Tribolium castaneum: one gene and its partners. Each later gene encodes a partner of the first gene's protein in a complex. Links are inferred from orthologs where the notes say so. Each region holds a gene or a part of one and is shown in the gene's direction. Other genes may lie near its edges.

Region 1 (3,500 bases):
TAAACGATGGGACGAGTATTTCATTTATAGATACATTAAACTAGTCGAGGGTGAAACCTCCGATGCTTTGACTTTACATCAGAGGGACGAGGACGGGAAATACGATAAGAGGACAAGCACGATAAGGACGACAAATAGGAAGGATTTTTTCTTGCCGCCGCATCTTTACGGACAATTGGCGCGGCACACTGATGGCTTTCTCATTCTAGTGCAGCACGGGTCGCTGGAAAACATGATTCAGGTGAAACACCCATTTATTTTGTACCAAAAAATTGTACAAATTCAAAAAAAATTATACTGGACTGATTGCCCTTTTTTCGGGTTGTAATTAATTCTTTGAACATTATTTTGCAAAATAGAAAACACAAAATAGGAACTAAAAAAATCCTTGATGGGTCGTATGTTTTTTATCAGTCTCTGTCAGTGAGTGATTGCCAGAACAAATTATTTAATATAAAATTTACCAATATAATATTTACCAATCTAAAAAATAGTGAAATAAAAAAGCGTTTATTTGTTTAACGAAACGCTGTAAGTGCTAAGTTTACAAGGTGAAACTTCTAAAAGTGTGTTTTACTAGATTGTTCCATGGTACATCTAAAAAACTAATACACAGATAAAAATGAGCGTTTGCTGTTAAATACTTTTTTTTTCTCTGTCTGTGATTTTTTTCAGAATTTTTTTTACAATCCTTTATACTTGAAATGCTAGAAATTAATTAATATTGTGTCTATTTATTGCTAATGATATTCTGAAATGGTGTTTTGTGCAAATATTCCTACAGAAAATTATTGCTAGCCCATGAAAATAAAGAACCCCTAAAGTTTATTTACTTTGTGGCTCATATTTAATTGTAAACAACTTCTAATTCGAGTTATTCAAAAAATATATATAATAAATAATAATTGACACACCACCACGGCGATTTTTTTGCATAAAACAAAATTTATGCATTTTTAATTTTTTTTTTTCGAAATTCATTTTAGTTTTCGAGTTGTTCAAGAAATATATATATAATAAATAATAAATGATACTCCACCACGGCGATTTTTTTGGTAAATGATTGTGCTTTAAAATTGCTTGAAAATAGTATTATTTTTTAACCGGTGTATTTTTTTTTAATAAATTGTTATGTTTTTATTTATATCCATGAATACAACTTCTTCGGCTAAATTTGAACAAATCGTCGTAATGAGCTCGGAACGTAATTCTAATACTTTATTAAAAAAACACTGTTTTAAAAACAAAATTATTGAATTAGAAGTCATTTATAAAAATATATTTGAAAAAAAAATTTTTTAATAACTCGAAAACTAAAAAAAATTGAAAAAATTATTTTTGAAAAATGATTACATTTTAAAAGTAGTTAATGATACATAATACTAATTAGTTTTTTCGTAAGGTACATAATTAATTTAGACACAAAACGTTTGGTTCAAAACTCTGTATAAGTACCTACTGTTATTTTCTATTTCGCGTTTGTTGACTATTTTTTTCATCGTCATCGTTATAATTCTTTTTTTTTGTTTTTTTTAATTCGTCTGATTCCTGTTGGCGCTTTAATCTGGGTTTTTTCTTGTACCCTTTTTAATTTTTATTAATTACGTTTTTTTCTTTAATTAATTGTTTACCAGATTTGTACTAAAAACGGTGTTACAAAGTCAAAATTTTTAGCACTGTTCTTAGTAATTTGGTATGCTGTACTATTATCAGCTCTGACTTGTTTTTTTTCTGAGAAACATTGGTATTATTACCCAATTTTAATAAAGTGTAAGTTAATTCTTCGAAAATCATTTTGCAAAACAGAAAACACTTATACACAGCACTTATATAAAATGAAAAAATACCTCCAGTTTTTATTTATTTTGTCACTGTCGCTGCCAGCATAAATTATTTAACGTGAAAATTGCTACACAATTCAAATAAATATTTTATAAAACTTCGAAATTACGATTTAAAAGGCGCTCACATTGCGATAATTCTTTATTTCTAGTTTCTCACGAATGGCGTTTGTGAGACCGAGGACGATATTTTGAAACTGAAAGCCTCAATATGGGCTTTGGGCCACTTCGGCAGCACCAGCGAGGGCCTAAGATACCTAATTTTGCACAACTGTTTGGCAGCTTTGATAACCTTGGCACAAGAGTGCTTAGTGTTCTCGATTCGGGCAACTTCGTATTACGCCCTCGGTCTAATCGCAACAACGCGACAAGGCGCCGACGAACTCTTCAAACTGGGTTGGTTTAGCACACGTCATAACCGACACGTGGCGTGGCCAATCATCGAAGAGGAGGCGTGGGACGAGGACGAGGACAGTTTACGACTTCCGAGTAGTTTCCCCGATATCACGCCCACTTTGTATTACTTCGACTCGGGAATTAAGGACGTAGAGGGCAGCACTGACGACGATACGTCCGAGTCAATGTTGCCCGATTCCACAGTGGCAGGCCCCCAGAAAAGCCTGACTTTGCCGGCCAATCAGAACCAAGCGGCGGGCTACCACAAGAGGTCGCTGTCCGAGTCGAAAACCTTCGAGATTATCCGAGCGCCTCAGGACAGTAAAAAAGGCAGCTTCCGATTGGGTACCGAGATTGTGAGGCGCGTTCGGAACAATTCGACCACGGAATCGACCACGTCCGGGGTGAGTTCGTGCGATTCCTTCGGCGGAGGCAAATCTGTGATCTAGTAAGTCACTATTTTACATTTGTTTTTTCTTAATTGGGCATTTCAGCGAACGGCCACAAATCTTGAGTCCTATACCAAGTTCCTGTAGTCTCAGTACGTTAAAACAATCGGCGAAAGTGCGGCGTCATTCGGAATCGTCACGGCGTGTCTCAGTTCAAAGTAACTTAATAGGCTATGCTGGGCGTGGCTAATGGGCGTGTTTTCAGGCGGGTCTAACTCGGATCGCTCGCTCCAATCGCTGGGCGGGGGCGGGTCCAGTAAGCTGAGCCATCAGGATCTGGTTGGCTATGCCACACTTCGTTCCTTACGAAAATCGCCGAGGTATTTGGAAGAACCCGCCTACGACTCGGACGATATCCGGAGTGATAGTAGCTGGGATGTTCCCGTTTCACTAATCGAAGATTTCAATCTTTTAAATACCACTGGGACAAGTATTAAGCGGTTTAGTGTCCACGATCGGAACGAAAGCGAGGATCGGTGTTACATGGGCGTGACTTTGCCTCATGACATTAATCATTTGTTTCTGGATGTGGACAGTGAGGCACGTGATGCCTCTTTGGAGAGATTTCCGATCATTGACGACGAGATTGTCTATGCAATGCACGATTTTAAAGTGCGTGAGGAGACACTGTGGAGGCACGATGTTGAAACGTGCCTTGTTTGTTCGTGGAAGGGGCCCAAAGACGAGGTTTTTGTCACGACATCTAGCGGTAGGTATTTAATTATTATGTGGATTTAATTCGCGCTTTTACGCTCTCTGGTGAAGGATTTTGAACCGTTAAACTACTATCAAAGTGTCAAAAAAAATTCTATAC
Region 2 (3,783 bases), on another chromosome or scaffold:
ATACAAAATTACATTTTTTTCATCCGTGAAAAATATGCTCAAACTAAATCACAGCACGAACATGTGGGACATGTAATGGGGCTAAAAAATCATTTAATGATGTAATGCGGTAATCGCTGGGTTTAAGCCGTTAGTGCGGTTAAATTAGTTGGCCATGACTACGGATATCTAAAGGTTAGGATAAATAAAGCGTTCCCGTCCTCTCTACAAATTTCTTCCTCACATTTTTCTTGTATCTTCAACTGTATTCAAACCGCAAATTTAAAATTTTAATTTTTTTTCTTATGTTTCTTATAAAAATTTTAATAGTTAGTTTTTCTGTCTGTTAAGAGTGCAAAGCTTAACGTTCCTGATGTTTTCCAAGTAATTAGTGAATTGGTTGGATTTAAATTAATTTAAAACGATTTGGTACTGAGACGATATAACGCTCGAAACGCCCTCATTTTTACAATGTTGTACTATTTTTTCGGGTCCAGAAAATCTCGTTTCGTCTCCTAGCTTATAGTTCACCGTAGCCATGACGACTAAACCGACTTGATTGAATTTTGCCCTATATTTATTTGCCTAGTCTGTAAAAAGTACGATTTCATTACTTCATCATTATATGAGAATTGTTTATAATTCAAAAAATTCATAATTAGGCACAGGTGGAACACCTGTCTGGACACCTGTTGAATTTTGTTCCAAACCTACCAAGCCTAATTTTGGGGTTGTTTGTTGTATGGAACCAACAAAATTTATGAAAAAAATGTGTGATTTATTTATTTGTCAATAAACTGCATACAGAAAAATTAGGTAATGATCAATCACAGTTGACTTTGAGTTGTCATGGCAAGCTGGGTCATAAAACTCTCCCCATGTCCTTGCCATAATTTCTCTCAAAAATAAACTTTTCGTCCGAGTTAATCATTTTTCTGAGAAACGGAGGCCTAAATCGGTGTGACTCACCTCATCTTCTCACATTGCAGAAACAGTTATTGTTCCAAAACCTTTCTAATTTTTGTATCAAGGAAATTTAAATAACAAAAGATACAAATCAACTACTTTTATAAAAAGCCAAAACGTGTACGAAACCGGAAGTAGGACTTACCCAAGAAAACAGAAATTGGTCCCAACCTCCAAGAACTCAAGAAACCCATCTTTGAGACAACTGGATTGCGGTTTTTTCGTTACATTCATTAAAATCATATGCACCATGAAGCAACAACGGGGAGGTGTGTTTATGTTGAAAAAAACATAATTTTATTATTTAAAACCAGTAAATAAACACAAAATAAACGACAGGTTCACAAGACAACAACACCCAGCACCCACACAACACTTTTTCTAGTGACAATTTTAGTGATTTTGTTGTGTGTAGACAGTGCTCCCAATATGAACCAAATTTCAAAAATTTAGCAATTGGGGCCAATGATATCGAAAAGTGTTTGATTTTTTGATAAAACGACACGTTTTAAAATATTAAAATATGCTCAAAAAAAGCGTTGTCGCCTATTATCTAACAATAATGAGCGTTATGTCAAGTTCTTACATAACCTAACTTGTCAATGTTTACATCAGACACGATGGCCCTTTACGACAACAAATACTGGTTATTATCACACATACGCAACTCTTTCATTTCTACAGATGATACAGGTTTGGCTAGGTTTCAAAATCACACTCGATTAACAAAGTTTTAGGAATGTGCGAGTTAATAATGACAGGGGAGGAAGGTGTCAGGAAACACCTGAAGCAAAGCCTTGATTCGTACCCTGATGACGAAGACAGTGAAGATGAAGATGATTTGTCTCACGAATCTTACGACCTACAACTTGACACCGATTTCCCGTTACGATACAGATCGAATACTGCCGTAAGATTAGAAAAATTAGAACAGGTTAAAAAGAGAACTGGCAGAATCAAACATATTAAATGGGAAACGAACAAGAACGAGTTGAGTGAGGAACAAATTGATCAGTTATTCGTAAAAAAGGAACCCAAAGTAATAGAACCGAAGCAATCTTTGTTTTCTAAAACCTTCAAGGAGCATAAGATGATGCCCATTAACCCTTATATGGATTATGCCAAGTTTGATGGCAGCGGACAAGTCAATCTTCAAGTGAAGAAGTATAGAATTTTCCTAACAATGCTACCAGAGCACCAGAGGAATTACCCCTTGGCTGTTTGTTGCACCTCTTCTGCTAAAATTCAAGAGTTGATTGGACTTATATTACTCAAATGCAGGTTTGTTAACTTGATCCTGAAGTTAGGTTGGCAATATTCTAAGTTACTGATGACATAGTTGCACGCTATTGGCTAAGCGTTAAAATGTTGCCAACTTGATTTCAAAGTCACAGGCCACTTTGACCAGGAAATGAAATAATTGAAAAACAAAATTTTTAAGTACAATGTATGAAGACTATCCTTGGAAGCCCGTAAACAATTACGGTTTGTACATAACTGAAGAAGACGGAGAAGTGGATAGGGACTTCCCCAACTTGGACCCGAGGGAAAATATTGCCAAATTTGGGTTTGCTTGTTTAGGGCTTGTGGAACATTCAGATCCCTCAAAGTGTGTCAGTTTTGGGAACTCTGAAACTGTTACAATCAGAAAATTCGATTACAATGACAAAAAAGGAAAAGGTTCGCTTTTGCCACATTTTGGTTTAAAATTTAAATTTTTTCTTTAGATTCGTCTAAACAAGACCAGGAAAAACAAATCACCACCGATTTACACTTAATGGACGTTCATAAAAAAGCAATGGAAGCCCCACTGTACAAATCGTTCAAAGTCTACATGATTAATAAAATGCGGGCCAAAGTTGAAATACATTTAGGAATAAGTGGCGAAAAAATCGAAATTGACCCAGTGCAAAAAAACTCGAAATTTGTTCTAGTTAAACAAAAACCCATAAACCACGATATGGACATGATCGCGTGGTGCGAACCCATTGAAACTACCAAAAGCAACAAAATGACTTTCAAAATCATTTACAGCCATTCGTTCGCAAACGCTGAAAATGGTATTTTTTGTAATTATTTAATTTTCTTGATTATTTAATTGTTTTTCTAGTTTCAAGTCCAACTTTACAATCTTCAGCTAGCTTCAAAAGTTACGAATTTGAGGCAGACCAATCAATTGCCGAAGAAATCGTAAATAAAATAAACCTGATTTTGGATTTGAGGTCTAGTGACACACGGAAGGAGTATTTGGCAGCGCAAGAACGGAAATATTATAAGAAAAAAGCGTTGATTTAAGTAACTTGTATACTAAAATATAATAATAAATTCATAAATTATTTTTTTGCGTTATGATTTGGGAACGTACCCTCGTTACATAACCTCAACCGTCACCTGTCAGCTGTGAGTGTCATTACCCTCTTGAGAAAAAAACAGAAAAAGGAAAATCATGTTTGGCTTTTTTTGACGCTTATCATATATGAGATAAGCACAAGGGGGCTATAAAATGGTAAACTGACTCCACTTTGTGTTATTTCGAACAAAACGGGCCTAAAAATGGTGATAATATAATTTAAAGCGCTATGGATATATTTTTGTTCATGTTCCTAGTTTTTATATCTTTTTTAATTGGTATTATAGTGACTCTCGTGGTGCAATATTATATTTTGTATTCTTATTTTAAAACAAGTCCAGTGGTCACACCAAATGAGAAAAAGTGTTCTACTGATTACGTTTTACCAGAGGTATGTATTAAATATTTATGTTTTTGTGTGTATCGAAGCGCTTTTAGTCTTTGAAAAAACAATTGGATAGTGAAGAATTGAACGATGCGACGAGTTT
Region 3 (4,166 bases), on another chromosome or scaffold:
CACATTGAGGAATTGAGTAGTAGTGAAAGTGAGAAGGAGCAAGAGAAGAGGCCGAGGTCGGGGCGAGAATCGCACCAAAGTCGGAGGTCAAAGAGGTCCAAAACCTCAAAAAAATATCAAAGCGACTCGGAGAGTTTCAACAGACAGAGTGACAGCTCGTCGAGTCCAGAACTGAGAGAGTTGTTATGAGGAACGACTGATTTTATACGAAAAGCAGCTTCGTATTTATTTGTACAAAAATGTGATTTTTATAACTTTTACCAAATAAAAAATTATAAGCCTTTCGTATTATTAATGTGCCCATTGCTCCTTCCCCACGAATGTCGAAGTGCATACTTTTATTTTCAAAGAGTTATTAACTAAAAAAATACTCGCACCTGAGAATGTAAAAAATTTTCAAACGTTGCGTAAATTGCTATTATGAGTAGTAGTAACATATTGCATTTTTTTAATTCGCTCAACTTGTGTGGTTTTGGGTGTATTTTATGAAACAAGTGTGTCGTGTTTTTAAGTATTTTATTAATTAAAAAAATTACTGTTCCTTAACTTCTCTGAGACGACGAACGGCTGATCGGAGAGACGATGCTGCTGTGGTAGAATAGACCCAAGCGCCTCCTGCTACCACACGTTTGCACCTTTTGCAGGACCAAATCCCTACACAACTCCTTTTCATGGCATCCTAAAAGAAGTCATTCAAAACATTCTAAAAACTAATCAAAGAATAACAAAAAAAATTATGCAAGTTTCAACAATGAAATCAACTAGAGTGTTGGCAATCTTTACCTTGCCACAAAAACTGCAGGAATACTTGCTGTGTTGAGTAATTTCCATTTTTTTGACCATTTTACGGAGGGAGGCCCCATAACGGGTTCCGTATTTTCCGACAATTCCGACCTTCTTCGTACGCTTGGCCTACAAAAAACACAATGTTACATAACAAAAACTTAACAATTTTAGCATTTTTTCCAAAGACACAAAAACTAGGTTATACGTAACCTCAATAGTAAAAAATGCCGACTGTGGCTTCTATGGCCAAAAAATCGTTATACAATAATGGAAATTGACTCATTGTGTCCATTTCGAATAAAATGCATACAAAATATCTTAGGATGATTAAAATAATACTCGATTTTCGCAAACTTACCATTTTTGTAACACTTTTGACAAGTCTCACAAATGTAAGAGAAGTTGGCAACACTCAGCACACACGAATTCACCAAACTAGTCGGAAAACGGAATTCCCTAAGTTTTTTTTTATAAAAAATCTAACGTTTTTTTAATTATGTAAAGGGATTTATCACATATTTAAGATTACAAGTTTTTACATGACTGTAATAAACACAAGAAAAGACTTTTTGTGCTTGATTTAGGCCCCATTGAAATTCAAACCGGCCGAAAAATCCCCCAAGTCATTCGGCAAAAATGGAAGCACCATCATGAGTGTGATAACAATCTTTCAGTGTTGATAAACCCGAAAATGCTTCCTTTCTAACGTCGCACCGTCACCATGTCCACTTTGGCCATGCAACAATTCGTTGCGGGGTTGAAATCCCGCAACCCCGACGTTCGTCAAAAAACCGCACGAGAATTAAGCTTGTACGTAAAAAGCGAGCTTCGCGAAGCCACCCCCGACGAAATAACAAACTTCCTTGACGAATTCAACCACCACATCTTCGAAATGGTCTCGAGCAACGACCCCAACGAGAAAAAAGGCGGAATTTTGGCGATTGGTTAGTCACAATTTAAACCCAAACTTTCCTCAATTCCTTCTTCTAGTATGTTTGATTGGAGTCGATTTCGGGAACATGACCACACGTATATCACGCTTCGCCAATTATTTACGCAACTTGTTGCCCTCGAGCGACGTGAGCGTCATGGAGTCGGTGGCGAAGACAATGGGGCGCTTGGCGCTGGTCTCAGGCTCAAAAGCCTCCGAATACGTCGAGTTTGAAGTTAAGAGGGCCTTTGAGTGGCTCAGTGGCGACCGGATTGAAGTATGAACTCCTCAAAATTGGCCCAGTTTGAGTAAAATTCTTCTAGGGGAAGCGACAAGCTGCCGTTTTAGTCTTGAAAGAGTTGGCATTAACTATGCCGACGTATTTCTACCAACATGTGTCGCAATTTTTCGATCTGATTTTTTTCGCGATACAGGACCCCAAACCTGCCATTAGGGAGAGCGCTGTGGAGGCTTTGAGGGCCGCTTTGGTCGTCACAGCGCAACGAGAAACGGCCAAACAGAACCAAAAGCCACAATGGTACGCACAGTGTTAAGTTAATTGCTCTTCTTGCTTTCTCAGAACTAAATGTTCAACTATATATGTCCGGCAAATTTTTTTATTAATAATTTAATAATAAAATATCGTTTGGTTGTTTGACCCTCGATTTTTTCTTTAGGTACAAACAGTGTTACGACGAATCCGTGAAAATGCTCTCGGTGGAAAGAGGCGAACGCATGAAAGAGGAGCGCGTCCACGGCTTTCTCCTCATTCTCAACGAACTGGTGCGTTGCTCAAATGCCGAATGGGAACGCAAATGCAAAAGTTTGCTCGAACGCACCGACACCAAACAACCAGTCGAGACTAGCTTCAATTTTACTAAATCTCGCTTCGTCTTTTCGGTCTCTCGACGCATCCCCCAATACCAAGCTGTGTCTTTGGCACCCTCTCAAATTGCAATCATAGAATCCCAAAGTTGCCGAGGCCTCGTTTCCGAGAAATTCGACTACATTTGTTTAGACGTCCTGGCTCAGAGACTCTCCCGTTCGTCCCACATCCAACAAAGTTTTCTCACGATTTTACCCCGATTGGCTGCTTTTGACCGCGAAAACTACGTCAAGCAGCACTTAAGCCCCGTCATGAACCACATCTTCAACATTTTGAAGAGTCGGGAAAAGGAGAGAGCTAAGGCTTTTGTGACTATTGGCTTAATTGCGATCGCTGTCGAGAGCGACATTGAGCCGTACATTGAACGTATTATGGAAATAATTCGCATGTATTTGCCCCGAGCCGATATTTTGGGGCGCAAGCGGAGCCCCATCGACTCCTCAATTTTCAACTGTGTCACTTTCCTAGCCCACGCCCTCAAAAACCACTCAAAAATGGACATCCCGAACCTCCTGGAACCAATGCTAGCAACGGGATTAACCGCATCCCTCACGATATGTTTCCGGGAATTATCCCGAAAAGTCCCGGAACATAAAGAACGAATCAGTCTCGGGTTATTAAAAATGCTGAGTTATATTCTCCTGAATAAACCACTAGTTCATCCCGGGATGCCCCGCCACTTGACCGGAACCGTAATGAGTCTTGCAATACCAGAAGTCAACGATGTGCAAATCATAGTTTTGGCCCTCAAAACACTCGGAACGTTTGACTTTGAGGGCCAGAGACTCCTCCCTTTTGTCCACCGCTGCGCCAATCATTTCCTCATCCATGACAATAACGAAATCCGATTGGAGGCTGTCAGAACCACGTGTCGGCTCCTCCGACATGCTATTCACTCCACAGCGAAAAACTCGTCGGATACGGTCACCAAAACCGTAGCTGCTGTTTTACATCGTTTGTTAAGTGTTGGTTTGACCGATACCGACCCAAATGTCCGGTACGGAGTCTTGATTTCGCTCGATCGTACGTTTGATAATCATTTAGCACAAGCTGAGTCGCTCAGTGCGCTGTTTCTGGCGTTGCAAGACGAAATGTTTGAAATACGCGAAGTTGCACTGTTTACAATCGGGCGCTTGAGTGCGATGAATCCGGCATATGTCATGCCCTCGTTGAGGAAAACTTTAGTGCAGTTTTTATCCGAATTGGAACATTCGGGCAGTGGGAGGAATAAGGAACAAGGGGCGAGGATGTTAGATCATTTGGTTGTGAGCGCCCCGAGGATGATAAGGCCCTACATGGAGCCCATTTTGAAGGTAAAAACGGGTTACCAAGTGATAAATTTTAAAGTAGCGTAAAATTTGCCCGGCGCATCCACCATTTTTGCTCCGAGGAAAATTTTATATTACGAAGGAAAGACAGGGAACGACTTTTGTTTCCAATAATTGGAATTAAAAACGTCATTTTCTAACTCAAATTTTAAAGGATCGTAAAATTTGCCCGGCGCATCCACCATTTTTGCTCCGAGGAAAATTTTATATTACGAAGGAAAGACAGGGAACGACT

Evidence for each region. The genes of interacting proteins can lie anywhere in the genome.
Region 2: the proteins of rictor (region 1) and Sin1 are in contact, whole or in part, in a cryo-EM structure (PDB 7PE7), measured with the Homo sapiens proteins. The link is inferred for Tribolium castaneum from reciprocal best matches to the Homo sapiens genes RICTOR and MAPKAP1. Residues at the interface, in NP_689969.2 of Homo sapiens: Arg108, Gln137, Glu140, Thr144, Leu147, Arg148, Arg151, Lys152, Thr155, Arg182, Met183, Arg185, Ala186, Ala189, Cys192, Glu193, Leu196, Leu220, Arg222, Ile223, Glu225, Ala226, Leu227, Thr229, Thr230, His233, Asn236, Arg293, Trp295, Glu844; in NP_001006618.1 of Homo sapiens: Ala2, Phe3, Leu4, Asp5, Asn6, Pro7, Ile9, Ile10, Leu11, Ala12, His13, Ile14, Arg15, Gln16, Ser17, His18, Thr20, Ser21, Asp22, Asp23, Thr24, Met26, Cys27, Met29, Val30, Leu31, Ile32, Asp35, Val36, Ser84.
Region 3: the proteins of rictor (region 1) and mTor are in contact, whole or in part, in a cryo-EM structure (PDB 6ZWM), measured with the Homo sapiens proteins. The link is inferred for Tribolium castaneum from reciprocal best matches to the Homo sapiens genes RICTOR and MTOR. Residues at the interface, in NP_689969.2 of Homo sapiens: Leu204, Arg205, Gly206, Asn209, Arg245, Asp247, Val248, Glu249, Glu251, Arg252, Leu254, Thr258, Asp259, Phe260, His261, Tyr262, Arg263, His264, Ser265, Pro266, Asn306, Gly308, Ser311, Gly314, Val315, Cys317, Ile318, Pro319, Glu345, Ile347; in NP_001373429.1 of Homo sapiens: Arg1028, Asp1032, Lys1068, Leu1069, Asp1108, Asp1109, Tyr1110, Asp1150, Lys1187, Asn1196, Val1200, Gln1207, Asp1210, Val1211, Cys1214, Arg1215, Lys1218, Gly1219, Tyr1220, Thr1221, Leu1222, Ala1223, Glu1226, Glu1227, Asp1228, Leu1230, Ile1231, His1234, Arg1235, Arg1238.

Annotation. Positions count from the first base shown.
Region 1 is NC_087395.1:23,064,381-23,067,880, forward strand, and holds part of rictor (rapamycin-insensitive companion of mTOR), read left to right. Parts: coding exon 1-241; intron 242-1,993; coding exon 1,994-2,685; intron 2,686-2,731; coding exon 2,732-2,844; intron 2,845-2,891; coding exon 2,892-3,395; intron 3,396-3,500. UniProt on the Homo sapiens protein: Component of the mechanistic target of rapamycin complex 2 (mTORC2), which transduces signals from growth factors to pathways involved in proliferation, cytoskeletal organization, lipogenesis and anabolic output.
Region 2 is NC_087397.1:9,927,726-9,931,508, reverse strand, and holds Sin1 (target of rapamycin complex 2 subunit MAPKAP1), read left to right. Parts: upstream 1-1,477; 5' UTR 1,478-1,547; coding exon 1,548-1,638; intron 1,639-1,682; coding exon 1,683-2,226; intron 2,227-2,386; coding exon 2,387-2,625; intron 2,626-2,672; coding exon 2,673-3,005; intron 3,006-3,055; coding exon 3,056-3,240; 3' UTR 3,241-3,283; downstream 3,284-3,783. Other genes in the region: crb (protein crumbs), read right to left, coding at 1,091-1,139; Pdzd8 (PDZ domain-containing protein 8), read left to right, coding at 3,525-3,686, 3,734-3,783. UniProt on the Homo sapiens protein: Component of the mechanistic target of rapamycin complex 2 (mTORC2), which transduces signals from growth factors to pathways involved in proliferation, cytoskeletal organization, lipogenesis and anabolic output.
Region 3 is NC_087399.1:3,302,849-3,307,014, forward strand, and holds the start of mTor (serine/threonine-protein kinase mTOR), read left to right. Parts: upstream 1-1,366; 5' UTR 1,367-1,507; coding exon 1,508-1,730; intron 1,731-1,776; coding exon 1,777-1,994; intron 1,995-2,040; coding exon 2,041-2,255; intron 2,256-2,394; coding exon 2,395-3,916; intron 3,917-4,166. Other genes in the region: smo (smoothened), read left to right, coding at 1-189; RpL37A (large ribosomal subunit protein eL43), read right to left, coding at 533-679, 784-912, 1,145-1,147. UniProt on the Homo sapiens protein: Serine/threonine protein kinase which is a central regulator of cellular metabolism, growth and survival in response to hormones, growth factors, nutrients, energy and stress signals.